Linked DNA regions of Saccharomyces cerevisiae S288C. Changing the gene in region 1 together with any one later gene gives a genetic interaction. Each region holds a gene or a part of one and is shown in the gene's direction. Other genes may lie near its edges.

Region 1 (3,341 bases):
CCGATTATAAATCGTGTCGTGATGGCTATAGTATGGTATGCCGTGCAAGCCTGGTTAGGTGCAACGCCCGTGGCACTGATGCTAAAATCTATTTTTGGCAAGAATCTGGAAGATAGAATCCCAAACCATTTTGGTTCTCCAAATAGCACTACTTTTGAATTCATGTGTTTCTTTATATTTTGGGTGGTCAGTATACCATTTGTCCTAGTGGCTCCTCATAAAATCAGGCATTTATTCACAGTAAAAGCAGCTTTGATCCCCTTCGCAGCCTTTGGATTTTTAATCTGGGCTTTGAAGAAATCGCACGGTAAAATTGAGTTGGGGACGCTGAATGATTATTCACCTCATGGTTCCGAATTTTCATGGATATTCGTTAGATCCCTAATGGCCTGTGTTGCTAACTTTGCCGCTTTGATTATCAACGCCCCTGACTTCGGTAGATTTGCCAAAAATCCTCAAGCGTCTTTGTGGCCACAATTGGTTGCCATCCCATTGTTCTTCGCCATAACATGTTTGATCGGTATCATTGTTACTGCGGCCGGTTATCACTTATATGGGGTTAACTATTGGTCACCACTGGATGTACTTGGTCAATTTTTGGAGACCACTTACACCAGAGGTACTAGGGCTGGTGTGTTCTTGATTTCTTTTGTATTTGCCTTAGCTCAACTGGGTACAAACATTTCTGCCAACTCTCTGGCATGTGGTGCTGATATGACGGCTTTGTTTCCAAGATATATTAATATTAGAAGAGGTTCTTTATTCTGTGTGGCAATGGCTCTATGTATCTGTCCATGGAACTTAATGGCCAGTTCAAGTAAGTTCACCAGCGCTTTGGGTGCTTATGCAATTTTCCTTTCCAGTATTGCTGGTGTCATTTGCGCGGATTATTTCGTAGTAAGAAGAGGATATGTGAAATTAACACATTTATTCCTGGCACAGAAGGGTTCCTTTTACATGTTTGGAAACAAATTTGGTGCCAATTGGAGGGCCTTTGTTGCGTATATTTGCGGTATCGCTCCAAATTTACCAGGTTTTATAGGTGATGTTGGAGCTCCAAAAATTACGGTTTCAGAGGGTGCAATGAGGTTATACTATTTAGGTTATCCGGTAGGTTTCTTTATTAGTGCGGTGATATACCTCATATTATGTTACTTTTTTCCTGTCCCTGGTACTCCCGTAACCAATTTTCTGACAGAGAAAGGATGGTTCCAAAGATGGGCTTATGTTGAGGACTTCGAGCAAGATTGGAAGAATGAGTTACGTAGGGATGACCTCTGCGATGACACAGTCAGTATCTATGATGGCACCGAGGAAAAGATAGTTTACTAAATAAAAATCCCAATTTATTCTCTTACCAGTAGTGATCAGGAGAATTGATAATTTCTTCAAAACACCTTAATATTCGTTCTGTGTATTTTTATGTACCTTTCTTAATCAAATTTATCAGCTTCATACATGCATTCCCGTCTGAATAATGTACTGATGATTAGCTAAACCGTCATCAACCTACCAAACTTGCGCTTGTTTGAGCCTATCAGAACTCCGGATAATTCCGACATCTTATCTTTGACTCGAATTAGCGATAAGATAAAAACACAGGAACCACAATGAAATTCAGCTGGAAGAAAAGTCTAAATTATAGACACATTTTCTGAGATCAAATGCTATAAAGGAATGGAAGTGCATTTTGCTATGATATGGGGAAATTATGAAGCCGATCAAACAATTAATTGTATCTAATCGGTCTCTTCTTTAGAAAAATGAAGTTTTTTAGTTTGGCAGATGAGGCAGAATTTAAGTCAATAATCATTTCAAAAAACAAAGCAGTAGATGTTATAGGATCTAAGTTAGGTGGTCAAGTGGTTTCTTTTTCAGATGAATGGTTTGCTTCTGCTGAAAATTTAATTCAGCCAACTGCTCCTATAAGGGATCCTACCAGATTTGTTCATTCAGGCGCATGGTACGACGGCTGGGAAACACGAAGACATAATGAGATGGAATACGATTGGGTTATCATCAAGATGGGAGTCGCTGCTGCCCATATTATTGGTGGTGAAATTGACACTGCGTTTTTCAATGGTAATCATGCACCATTTGTATCAATAGAGGCGCTCTATGACGAGGGCGAAGAAGGTAATATAGTGGAAGATGACTCGCGTTGGGTTGAGATTGTTGAGAAATTTGAGTGTGGTCCTTCGCAAAGGCATCTTTTCGTTAGAGGCAACGGCCTTACTAAAGAAAGGTTTACTCACATCAAGCTGAAGATGTACCCCGATGGAGGAATCGCCAGATTTAGATTATACGGAAGAGTTGTTCCTCCAGAACTCAAAACGAAGGATCATATAATTGACTTGGCTTATGTTTGCAATGGTGCTGTCGCTTTAAAGTATTCTGACCAACACTTCGGTTCAGTTGATAATTTGCTACTGCCAGGTCGAGGTCATGATATGTCGGACGGCTGGGAAACCAAAAGATCGAGACAACCAGGTCATACTGATTGGGCGGTAATTCAACTGGGCAGGGAGTCTTCTTTCATTGAGAAGATTATTGTTGATACGGCACACTTCAGGGGGAACTTCCCTCAGTTCATTACCGTGGAAGGTTGCTTGAAGGAGTCAGAATCAAGTGAGAACACTGGTGAAGGAACATGGGTAGAGCTAGTTGGTAAGTCAAAGACGGGGCCTGACAAAGAACATGTGTATGAAATACGTAAGAGTATAAGAGTCTCCCATGTCAAATTAACGATTATTCCAGATGGAGGAGTGAAAAGAATAAGAGTTTGGGGGTACTGATAAATACTTAACTACTGTATATTTTAAACCAATGCACTCTTGGCACTTTAAAAGTAAAGGTATAAATGTAGTTAAAAGTTTTTGTTTTGATAATTGAATGTTTTCATTTCGCTATCCCCACGCTACTTTATTTACTTCTTCTTCTTCACGACAAAACATTAAAATTTACACTCTATAAAAAACAATCATATTTCTATTTATTTTTGTGAGTTGACAAATCTTATCATAGTGATTAGAATCTGTAAACCGATCTCAATCGTGTCCAGAAACAGCGTGCCATCCCTTTGGAATGTTTTCGCCAGTTTATTTTGCAAACCCGAGAATCCTGCACAACCTAATATTACAATGTCTGAATCAAGCTTTTTAATATTTTCGCGATATATAATTTCTGCTATCTGCTGGAAATTTTCTGGACTATGTAGGTCGAGGACCTGTAAATCAGTAGATACCGTACCTTTCCATAAATTTTTGTTAACTGTATTCCCTGTCAAGAATTTCGATTCCACAGAGTTATTCAATATTGGAATCCATTCTTTATTTGAAGTA
Region 2 (3,590 bases), on another chromosome or scaffold:
GACAAGTTGTAGAAGAAATCTGAATCAGCAACTTTTAGTGTGCAACTTGAAAAAGTAATCAAAAAACAGATGAAGCGCATTCCAATCAAAGAACTAATAGTTGAGCACCCCGGAAAAGTTCTTATCCTTGATGGTGGACAGGGTACAGAATTGGAAAACAGAGGCATTAACATAAATAGTCCGGTATGGTCTGCAGCTCCTTTTACGAGCGAATCCTTTTGGGAGCCATCTTCTCAAGAGCGAAAGGTGGTAGAAGAAATGTACAGAGACTTTATGATTGCTGGCGCAAACATATTAATGACAATTACTTACCAGGCAAACTTTCAAAGCATATCTGAGAATACCTCGATTAAAACTCTGGCTGCTTACAAGCGTTTTCTCGATAAAATCGTGTCATTTACTCGTGAATTTATTGGTGAGGAAAGGTACTTAATCGGGAGTATTGGCCCATGGGCAGCACATGTATCCTGTGAATATACTGGTGACTATGGTCCCCATCCTGAGAATATTGATTACTACGGCTTTTTCAAACCCCAGCTGGAGAACTTCAACCAAAATAGAGATATTGATCTTATTGGTTTTGAAACGATTCCAAATTTTCATGAGTTAAAGGCTATTTTATCCTGGGATGAAGATATTATTTCGAAGCCCTTTTATATTGGGTTGTCGGTGGATGACAATAGTTTGCTACGAGACGGTACCACTTTGGAAGAAATTTCTGTCCATATAAAAGGCCTCGGAAATAAAATTAACAAGAATCTCTTATTAATGGGAGTTAACTGTGTCAGTTTCAATCAATCGGCATTAATTCTTAAAATGTTGCACGAGCATCTACCTGGCATGCCTCTGCTAGTTTACCCAAACAGTGGAGAAATCTACAATCCCAAAGAGAAGACATGGCACCGGCCGACTAATAAGTTGGATGACTGGGAGACCACGGTTAAGAAATTCGTTGATAATGGTGCGCGCATTATTGGCGGTTGTTGTAGAACGTCTCCTAAAGATATCGCCGAAATTGCATCAGCTGTAGATAAATACTCCTAATTCAATTTCTTTTAACAAATATCTTGTATCTACAAAACTAAAAGCAGTGTATATACGTCAATGTGCGGTCCTCAGCAGAAGGTTATTTTATCTTGATCAAATAGAAAAATCATTAGAACTTTTTACTGCCTGCCCTATTTTGGTTAATTTGCACACATTTCAGTGCATATTTTTCGCCAATCCGTAAGTATTTGGAGGCACGTCCCGGACTAAAGAGGATATTCTAGATACAGAGCTTCAAGTGCTATATACGGAGGAAGATATAAAGATAGTGCCAGCTTGAAGTATCACGGTATGCATTTCTATCTTATTCACCATCAAAAAATACGTGTACCCCCTTGCTGTGGCATGCTAGAATGCAAAAAATGATACATAATTTCAGACCACTTAATCTCATGGTTTATATACAAATATGAAACGTTTTGCAGGTAACTGATGGTCTCTGAGTGATGAGAGTTTCTATTCCAATAACGTTAAAGCTTTTACAGTGTATTTATCAAGATTTTAATGTTTAAGACGTGCATAATGACGGACGTGACTATAAATTTCACTTTGAAGGTAGATGGATGTTTAGAGTCAAGATCATCTCTCAGAAACGTACAAAAAGTGTACAGATGCTAGAAAACGATCAACTTGATATTTTGGGACAACAACCTTCGCTATACAAACTATACACTCAAATATGCTCTATCTACCGTGTACCAGATCCTTCTGCTCATGACCATATCGTAAATACCTTAACAAGAGGACTTGAAACATTGGCTAAAAATTTCCAGTGGCTAGCAGGAAATGTCGTAAATGAAGGTGCTGACGAAGGTAACACTGGTACCTACAGAATTGTCCCGTCAGACAAAATTCCACTTATCGTCCAAGATCTTCGAGAAGATCTGTCTGCCCCAACAATGGATTCGCTTGAAAAAGCTGACTTTCCTATCTACATGTTAGACGAAAAGACTTTTGCGCCTTGCATGACTATCAATCCACCTGGAAACACTATAGGTATGGCCGCCAAGAGTGGGCCTGTATTTGCAGTTCAAGCAAACTTTATCTCCGGCGGCCTCGTCTTAACTATTGTCGGGCAGCACAATATTATGGATATAACAGGACAGGAAAGTATCATCAACTTGCTCAATAAATCTTGCCACCAAAAACCTTTCTCTGATGAAGAACTGCTCATTGGAAATATAGATAAAAGCAAATCTATTCCTTTGTTTGATGAAACTTGGGAACCCGACACCACGCTAGTTCATGAAATAGTGGAAACCTCTAGAAATACAAGTGGAGAGGAAAAGGAACAGTCTTGTTCTTCGAACTCTACTTGGGCTTATGTTGAATTTTCTGCTATCTCATTGCAGAATCTGAGGATTTTGGCAATGCAGACATGTACTTCTGGCACAAAATTTGTCTCCACTGATGATATCGTCACTGCTTTCATCTGGAAATCAGTTTCTCGAGCCCGTTTATCTCGACTTAAACCAGAAACGAAATCAAATTTAGGGCGTGCTGTGGATGTTAGAAAACGGCTAGGACTCCCCGAAACGTATCCAGGGTTATTAGTCAACATGACCTTTAATACAGGTTCCCTGAAAAGCTTGGATCATAAAAGTTTGGGCGTTCTTGCATCACAGATTCGCAGGAAGCTAGACCCTAAAGTCTTCGATTTGGCCTATAATACATGCGCACTTGCTACGCTCCTTAGCCGATGCCCGGACAAGACTAAGGTTTCTATACCTCAACCAATTGATACTTTATCTGGAATTATGGTCAGTTCGTGGGCAAAAGTCAGCCTGTATGACGTTGATTTCAATCTAGGGCTTGGGAAGCCCAAGAGTGTACGACGGCCGCGCTTCATTTCCCTTGAGAGCCTAATATATTTTATGCCTAGATCCTCCAGAGGTGAAATGGTGGTTGCTCTTTGCCTTAGAGATAAAGATTGGGAGTGCCTGAATGCGGATAAAGAATGGACAAATTATGCTACACATATAGGATGATGATATGTAATATATTACCAATAGGCCACCTTGTTACGTAAGTCAATATGGCATGCATTCATTCATTATAGTTAAAAAAAAAAAAATAGTAGGAAGTATTCAAATATAGATAGTTTTGTATAGTTTTGTTATTTTTTTAAAATCTTTGTAAATCTCTACATTACACAAATGACTTTTATGTTTAAAAGAGATGAGCTGCGTTACATCGTAGCCTTCAGATACGTTAGCAATAATAAAAAAATGAATAAATATTTACTACAATTGAAACTGCCACCTGTTTATCATTTTTCAATAAGGAGATGAACTAGGCCATCAACAATTACTAACACGCACACACGCACTACTACAACTACTTGATTTTGAATTATATGATACCAAGTGCCTATGATTTACTTAATAACAACGCTCACTGTATTGTTTTATTATCGAAATATAAGACGATGAAATTGAAGATGAGAAGTGAACCACTCACACCATTCCGCCAAAAATCACATTAAAATTTCAAAAAATTACTTACGCGGATACAGAAACCCCCTTCGGCAGCTCTTTAGATAT
Region 3 (2,596 bases), on another chromosome or scaffold:
CTAATACTAAAAAGCGCAGGCGTTGTGCGCTTGGTTTGTGTAAGTTAACCAAAAAAGTTAAAAGTATAAGTCTTCTGCATCAAACTAACAGAAAAAAAATTTTTTTTACACTTGAAATGGTTATTGTCTGCTTATTGTGAAGTACGAACATCCTAACAAACGTTGTATGTTGCTTTCTGCGTTTTTCCTTACAGTGCTAGCGTAGAGAATATGAAAAAGAGGGAAATTAAGCAACTGCTTTTTCTATGATTTACCACTGTGAGCCCAAAACTTAACGTGCACCAACACGTGTGCGGCAACCTGGCTGGCCTCTCAATGTAGAAGTAACTGGTTTTCTTCTTGCCCTTTATTTTCTTGTTTTTTAGAACCAATCTCGAGCACTTGGATAATGCAAAACAAATACAATCTATGTCTTCCACACCATCATTTTACTATGCCTGCCACCATACATTTGTCTTTTGCACCATATCTTCATAACCTGTCACCTTGAAACTAAAAAAATATTCACAATGGTGCATGCTTGAAGCACAAACTAGATTAATTTGTTGAGTAAATCATGTGGTTCCAAGGAACAAAAAAAAAAATGCATTACATCACGTTCCTTGCTCTGTATCTCTTCACCTGCAATTACTCAAAAGAAAAAAAGAAATATAATTTTCCTTTGAGCACCCTTGGTAACTTATCTAAGAACACGCGATGTAATCGAAATTTAATAACCTAAAAAAGAAATAGAGATCGGTGACGTTTGACGCTAGCCAATCTCCACGAGATTTATCTGGAAGGGCATCACCCGTCAAAACACTAAGAAATTTGACACCTTATTTTTTTTTCTCCGAAACGTTCTGAGACGTTTCTTTTTTTTTCAGGACGCCACCCTAAATCCGAAAAACCTTACTTGGCATTAGTGTTGTAAAAATTTCTTTTTTCCATCGTGGTTCTGAAAAGCTTGCAGAAAAAAAGTTCGAGAACGTTTTCGTATGACTTATTAAGCTGCCCTTGAACTTGCCTTCCCTCTTCTTTACTATTTTCAGCCAGGGACAGAAATAAAGCAAAATCGTTTAACTTTTATGACCGTAACAGGTAACAATATCTGCTCAATTCGGTTAGTAAAAAAAAAAAGGTTATCGTAGGTTTACTATTTTCACATCGGTGCATAGAATCTATACTCTACTTCCTTTGGAGGGAATTTAGTAGTGCTCGATTAGCAGATAACAGCGCAGGGTTCTATGTAGTACGAAGCACTATCAGGTTTTTTAACGTACGTGAGTTGTTTTTTGTTTCTAATTTTTGGCTTGCCTGGGATAAACGGTGCCCATCAAATTATTAAGACCTGGTGAAAAGAGCGTACCTACATGGGTATCGGGGTTTTTGCCAGAAAGAGCTTTAACTGCAATTGATGCCTACCGGAGATTATTTTGATATCAAAATGCAGGAACGATATCTACTTCCCTAAAGCAGAAAACAAAACATTTTTTTAAAAGTCTTTCTTATATAAAGGTAACCTTCATTTCATGATAGCCAGATGATAATCTTAATGTAACAATTGGAGGATACCAGCATCCCTCCACACCTTCAAATGTCTATACCCCATTCCGTATTTTCGGCACTCTTGGTCTTCGTGGCGCTAGCTACTACAACCTTAGCCAGTACAGAAGCTTGCTTACCAACAAACAAAAGGGAAGATGGTATGAATATTAATTTTTATGAGTACACAATAGGCGACCAAACCACATACTTGGAGCCTGAATATATGGGCTATGAATACTCCAATACAAAGAAGTTAGGTTCCGTTAGCGGACAGACCAATCTCTCCATATACTATAGTCCGCCTTGTGAGAGCACTCCTACCTGTGTGACTTATGCAGTTTTGAAGCGTGATGAGGATGGATATGATCCTTGCGGACCTCTTTATGAAACTAAAAAACGTGACACTGAATACTGTGACCCAAATACTGCCTATTGGAGTTCTGATCTTTTTGGTTTCTATACTACTCCAACTAATGTAACTGTGGAAATGACAGGGTACTTAATATGGAGTATGGGCAACCGACGCCGTTGAACCTCTCCTTGGAGATTCTGATAATTTTATGACCATGACTTCTCGTGCACCTTACAGGAAACTTTAATGGCCTGATAAGTACAGCTATATTGTGATCACAATTATTAAAAACTAACTCATTTCATCTATAACCAAGTACAAATCGCACGACTATCATGACGATAAAAGCGTATATCCTTGATTTAATTCACATCACAATCACCCCCCTTGAAAAAAAAATAAATTTTTTTTCTTGCTATAATAGCATAATTGTCCACAAGTTCACTATTAGTGCTATCATTCTTCCCCACTGCCGCAAAATTGCAAAGGAAATAATTGTTTGCCCTGCAGGAACCATATACTAAAGAAGAAATAGATGCTATTAGCCTCTTCAACTGTCCGTAATCACTACATCTTGAAAGGTAAAATGCAAGTAGCAATGTGTTTACTTAAGGAAGCGCATCTACATCTTCTTTAGAACCATCTGTCGATTCAAGCGGATTAGAAAGAGGAAGCGTGATAAGCGCACACTGACACTTTGTCGTAAACTTATCAACT
Region 4 (4,212 bases), on another chromosome or scaffold:
TAAAGGCAAGAGAGAACTGAATCCGCTAGACGTTATTACCACAACGGTCACCGAGACCAAGTACAAGACAGTCACCGTCACTGCCAAAACTTAGCGCGGTTTTTTCTACCTTCCCTTTTTTCATCTTTTTGTTATATATATATACAGAGACACTCATGCGAATTTTCGCAAAACGAAGAAAAAAACATAAAATTTTCGTTTGTATCTACATGACTATCCTTTAATTATTACCTTTCTGTCAAATGTTTTATGGGAATATATATGTTAATATGAGCCAATAACTCACTAAAAACTCACTGATTTCGTTCCCTCTGTTTAGCTTCCTGCTCGATTCTCTTGATGGTCTGCTCTCTCTTAAAGTCGATGACCCTCTTCTCCTTGAAGTACTTGATCCAGCTATGGGCGCAATTCTCCTCAAATTTTTCATTTTCCACCTTGCAGTGCGACTTTATACTCTTGCTATTCTTGGGGTCCATTGCGTCCAAGATGTCTGCCTTGTCCAAACACTGGAAGAATGCGTCCCTGGACTCCCAGCACAACTTTCTCTGTGAACGGGTATTAGGGGGTTGTGATTCCTTTTTGCCACCATCAAATGAAAATAAGCCCATCGCTATATTACTACTATTCCTTTCTGTATATTCGTGTATCTATGTTCCTGCGCAGCGCTACAATAGTACCCGTCTATGTATGTATGTATGTATGTATGTAGGCGAATCTTCTCCCCCATTCTACAAAGCAGCACCTACCACCGCAGCACCGTTTCACATGTCCGTCTCTTTTGTTCAGCTCAGCTACAATCGTCAATCGCACTTTCTTCCGCGCGGGCGAGCCCGGTTTTGTTGGATTTGCTCAGGTGCCAATATACCATCAAGGAACGGACAGGGACCTGACAATACAATAGGCCATTTACATCACAATGCACAGGGACAGAAATTTATACACGATAACAATACCAACTAAACAAAAATATCTCCCGAGCCGATGCTTATTCCGCGGGTTCGATGCCGAAATAATTGTTGCATACGCTTTATCCAACACGATGGAGCGTGTTGGGCGCTTAAAGAAGAGACTCACTAAACTGTTCGGCTTTTTGGCTGCGCGTCTTTGCCGTTTCCCAACAAAAAACAATCATACTTAGTAACAAGAAAGACAAAAGCGCAAACCGAACCGCCCAGCTCAACCATCTTCGCCAAGTAGCGGCAAACTTATATAAGCTCCAACGATGTCCCCATCAATTAAGAACCCTCGATTGTCGGCGATCTATTTTTCTATTCTGGGTGTTTCTCGGCCTTCGTTCATCTCGTTCTTTCTACTCTTAGCCCTCATCTTTCTCTTCTGCATTCTTTTCACCTCATTAAGAACATTCGCGGCGCCGCTTTACCCCAACAAAAACAGCCCATCTTTTGTTCTACCTCTTTCAGATAAGGCTCAACAGATAGACAATAACTGATCATTCTTTCTTTTGTTTGCAACCCCTCTGAGTTGACATAAAAGCGAGAATACAAAAGAACCAGCATTAGTAACACATCATTTTTTTCTCTGTTCTTCACTATTTCTTGAAAAACTAAGAAGTACGCATCAAAATGACCGAACAATATTCCGTTGCAGTTGGCGAAGCCGCCAATGAGCATGAAACCGCTCCAAGAAGAAATATCAGGGTTAAAGACCAGCCTTTGATTAGACCCATAAACTCCTCAGCATCTACACTGTACGAATTCGCCCTGGAATGTTTTACCAAGGGTGGTAAGAGAGACGGTATGGCATGGAGAGATATTATAGATATACATGAGACGAAAAAAACCATAGTCAAGAGGGTGGATGGTAAGGATAAGCCCATCGAAAAAACATGGTTGTACTACGAACTGACTCCCTACATAACCATGACATACGAGGAGATGATCTGCGTAATGCACGACATTGGACGTGGGCTGATAAAGATTGGTGTTAAACCTAACGGTGAGAACAAGTTCCACATCTTTGCCTCTACTTCTCACAAGTGGATGAAAACTTTTCTTGGTTGCATGTCACAAGGTATTCCTGTGGTCACCGCGTACGACACTTTGGGTGAGAGCGGTTTGATTCACTCCATGGTGGAAACAGATTCCGTCGCCATTTTCACGGACAACCAGCTGTTGTCCAAATTAGCAGTTCCTTTGAAAACCGCCAAGAACGTAAAATTCGTCATTCACAACGAACCCATCGATCCAAGTGACAAAAGACAAAATGGTAAGCTTTACAAGGCTGCCAAGGATGCTGTTGACAAAATCAAGGAAGTTAGACCGGACATAAAAATCTACAGTTTCGATGAAATTATTGAGATAGGTAAAAAGGCCAAGGACGAGGTTGAATTGCATTTCCCCAAGCCTGAAGATCCAGCTTGTATCATGTACACTTCTGGTTCCACTGGTACACCAAAGGGTGTGGTATTGACACATTACAACATTGTAGCTGGTATTGGTGGTGTGGGCCATAACGTTATCGGATGGATTGGCCCAACAGACCGTATTATCGCATTCTTGCCATTGGCTCATATTTTTGAATTAACCTTTGAATTCGAAGCGTTCTACTGGAATGGTATCCTAGGGTACGCCAATGTCAAGACTTTAACCCCAACTTCTACACGTAATTGCCAAGGTGACCTGATGGAGTTTAAACCTACCGTAATGGTGGGTGTCGCCGCAGTTTGGGAAACAGTGAGAAAAGGTATCCTGGCCAAGATCAACGAATTGCCCGGTTGGTCTCAAACGCTTTTCTGGACTGTCTATGCTTTGAAAGAGAGAAATATACCATGTAGCGGCTTGCTGAGTGGGTTGATCTTCAAGAGAATCAGAGAAGCAACCGGTGGAAACTTAAGGTTTATTCTGAACGGTGGGTCTGCAATCAGCATAGACGCCCAAAAATTCCTCTCCAACCTTCTATGTCCTATGCTCATTGGATATGGGCTAACTGAGGGTGTGGCTAATGCCTGTGTCCTGGAGCCTGAACATTTTGATTACGGTATTGCTGGTGACCTTGTCGGAACTATTACAGCTAAATTGGTGGATGTCGAAGATTTGGGCTATTTTGCCAAGAATAATCAAGGTGAATTGCTGTTTAAGGGTGCACCCATCTGTTCTGAATACTATAAGAATCCTGAAGAAACTGCTGCGGCCTTTACCGATGATGGCTGGTTCCGTACCGGTGATATCGCTGAATGGACCCCCAAGGGACAAGTTAAGATCATTGATAGAAAGAAAAATTTGGTTAAGACCTTAAATGGTGAGTACATTGCATTGGAAAAATTAGAATCCATTTACAGATCAAATCCTTACGTCCAAAACATCTGTGTCTACGCTGATGAAAACAAAGTTAAGCCTGTCGGTATTGTGGTCCCTAACTTAGGACACTTGTCTAAGCTGGCTATCGAATTAGGTATAATGGTACCAGGTGAAGATGTCGAAAGCTATATCCATGAAAAGAAGCTACAGGATGCCGTTTGCAAAGATATGCTGTCAACTGCCAAATCTCAAGGCTTGAATGGTATTGAATTATTATGTGGCATTGTTTTCTTTGAAGAAGAATGGACTCCAGAAAATGGCCTTGTTACATCCGCCCAAAAATTAAAGAGAAGAGATATTCTAGCGGCTGTCAAGCCAGATGTGGAAAGAGTTTATAAAGAAAACACTTAAAGGAAGACATAGTTTTTTACTTTCCCCCCTGCCCTTCATAAACACTACGTTTCATTTTCTAAGAGCATCAATTTGCAAACACCTGAACTACTTGCACAATACATAGTTTCTTCTCCTACAGATACAGTTAATAATTAATAAATAACATTACACATAAACATGTTTAAGTTTCATTTCAGCAAGACAAGATTGACATTATTAAGCGTGATCTAAACTATGAATTTCTCCCGGGTATGAAACTACATTCTACTATTGATTTTAATAGATGAGCGATTAAACGGGATATTTGAATTTATGACTTCTGTAAACCATCGAATGCCCCAACTTTTAGTAATCAAACATGCACCGAAAACAACCATATCAATCAATGTCTTGCTTCATTCTTGATTTCTCATCTCTTTCTTTCCTTCGTAATTTCACCTTCTCCCTCCGCTCCTTTTATCGAAGAAACATCGTATTACAATTAACAACGCATTGCACTATAGTACACCAAGTTTGAAAATAAAAACCTCGCCCACGTTCATTTATGCAACAAGAAAAAAAC

Evidence for each region.
Region 2: mutations in DAL2 (region 1) and AYT1 together harm fitness more than expected from each alone (negative genetic interaction), as found in Saccharomyces cerevisiae (one large-scale study listed by BioGRID).
Region 3: mutations in DAL2 (region 1) and YFL051C together harm fitness more than expected from each alone (negative genetic interaction), as found in Saccharomyces cerevisiae (one large-scale study listed by BioGRID).
Region 4: mutations in DAL2 (region 1) and FAA4 together harm fitness more than expected from each alone (negative genetic interaction), as found in Saccharomyces cerevisiae (one large-scale study listed by BioGRID).

The regions. Positions count from the first base shown.
Region 1 is NC_001141.2:409,044-412,384, forward strand, and holds DAL2 (allantoicase), read left to right. Parts: upstream 1-1,763; coding exon 1,764-2,795; downstream 2,796-3,341. Other genes in the region: DAL4 (allantoin permease), read left to right, coding at 1-1,332; DCG1 (Dcg1p), read right to left, coding at 2,993-3,341. UniProt on the Saccharomyces cerevisiae protein: Utilization of purines as secondary nitrogen sources, when primary sources are limiting.
Region 2 is NC_001144.5:14,093-17,682, reverse strand, and holds AYT1 (acetyltransferase), read left to right. Parts: upstream 1-1,610; coding exon 1,611-3,035; downstream 3,036-3,590. Other genes in the region: S-adenosylmethionine-homocysteine S-methyltransferase MHT1, read left to right, coding at 70-1,044.
Region 3 is NC_001138.5:29,521-32,116, reverse strand, and holds YFL051C (uncharacterized protein), read left to right. Parts: upstream 1-1,576; coding exon 1,577-2,059; downstream 2,060-2,596. Other genes in the region: ZNF1 (DNA-binding domain containing protein), read right to left, coding at 2,488-2,596.
Region 4 is NC_001145.3:758,224-762,435, forward strand, and holds FAA4 (long-chain fatty acid-CoA ligase FAA4), read left to right. Parts: upstream 1-1,583; coding exon 1,584-3,668; downstream 3,669-4,212. Other genes in the region: YMR244W (uncharacterized protein), read left to right, coding at 1-94; COA6 (Coa6p), read right to left, coding at 294-608. UniProt on the Saccharomyces cerevisiae protein: Activates long-chain fatty acids (LCFA) by esterification of the fatty acids into metabolically active CoA-thioesters for subsequent degradation or incorporation into phospholipids.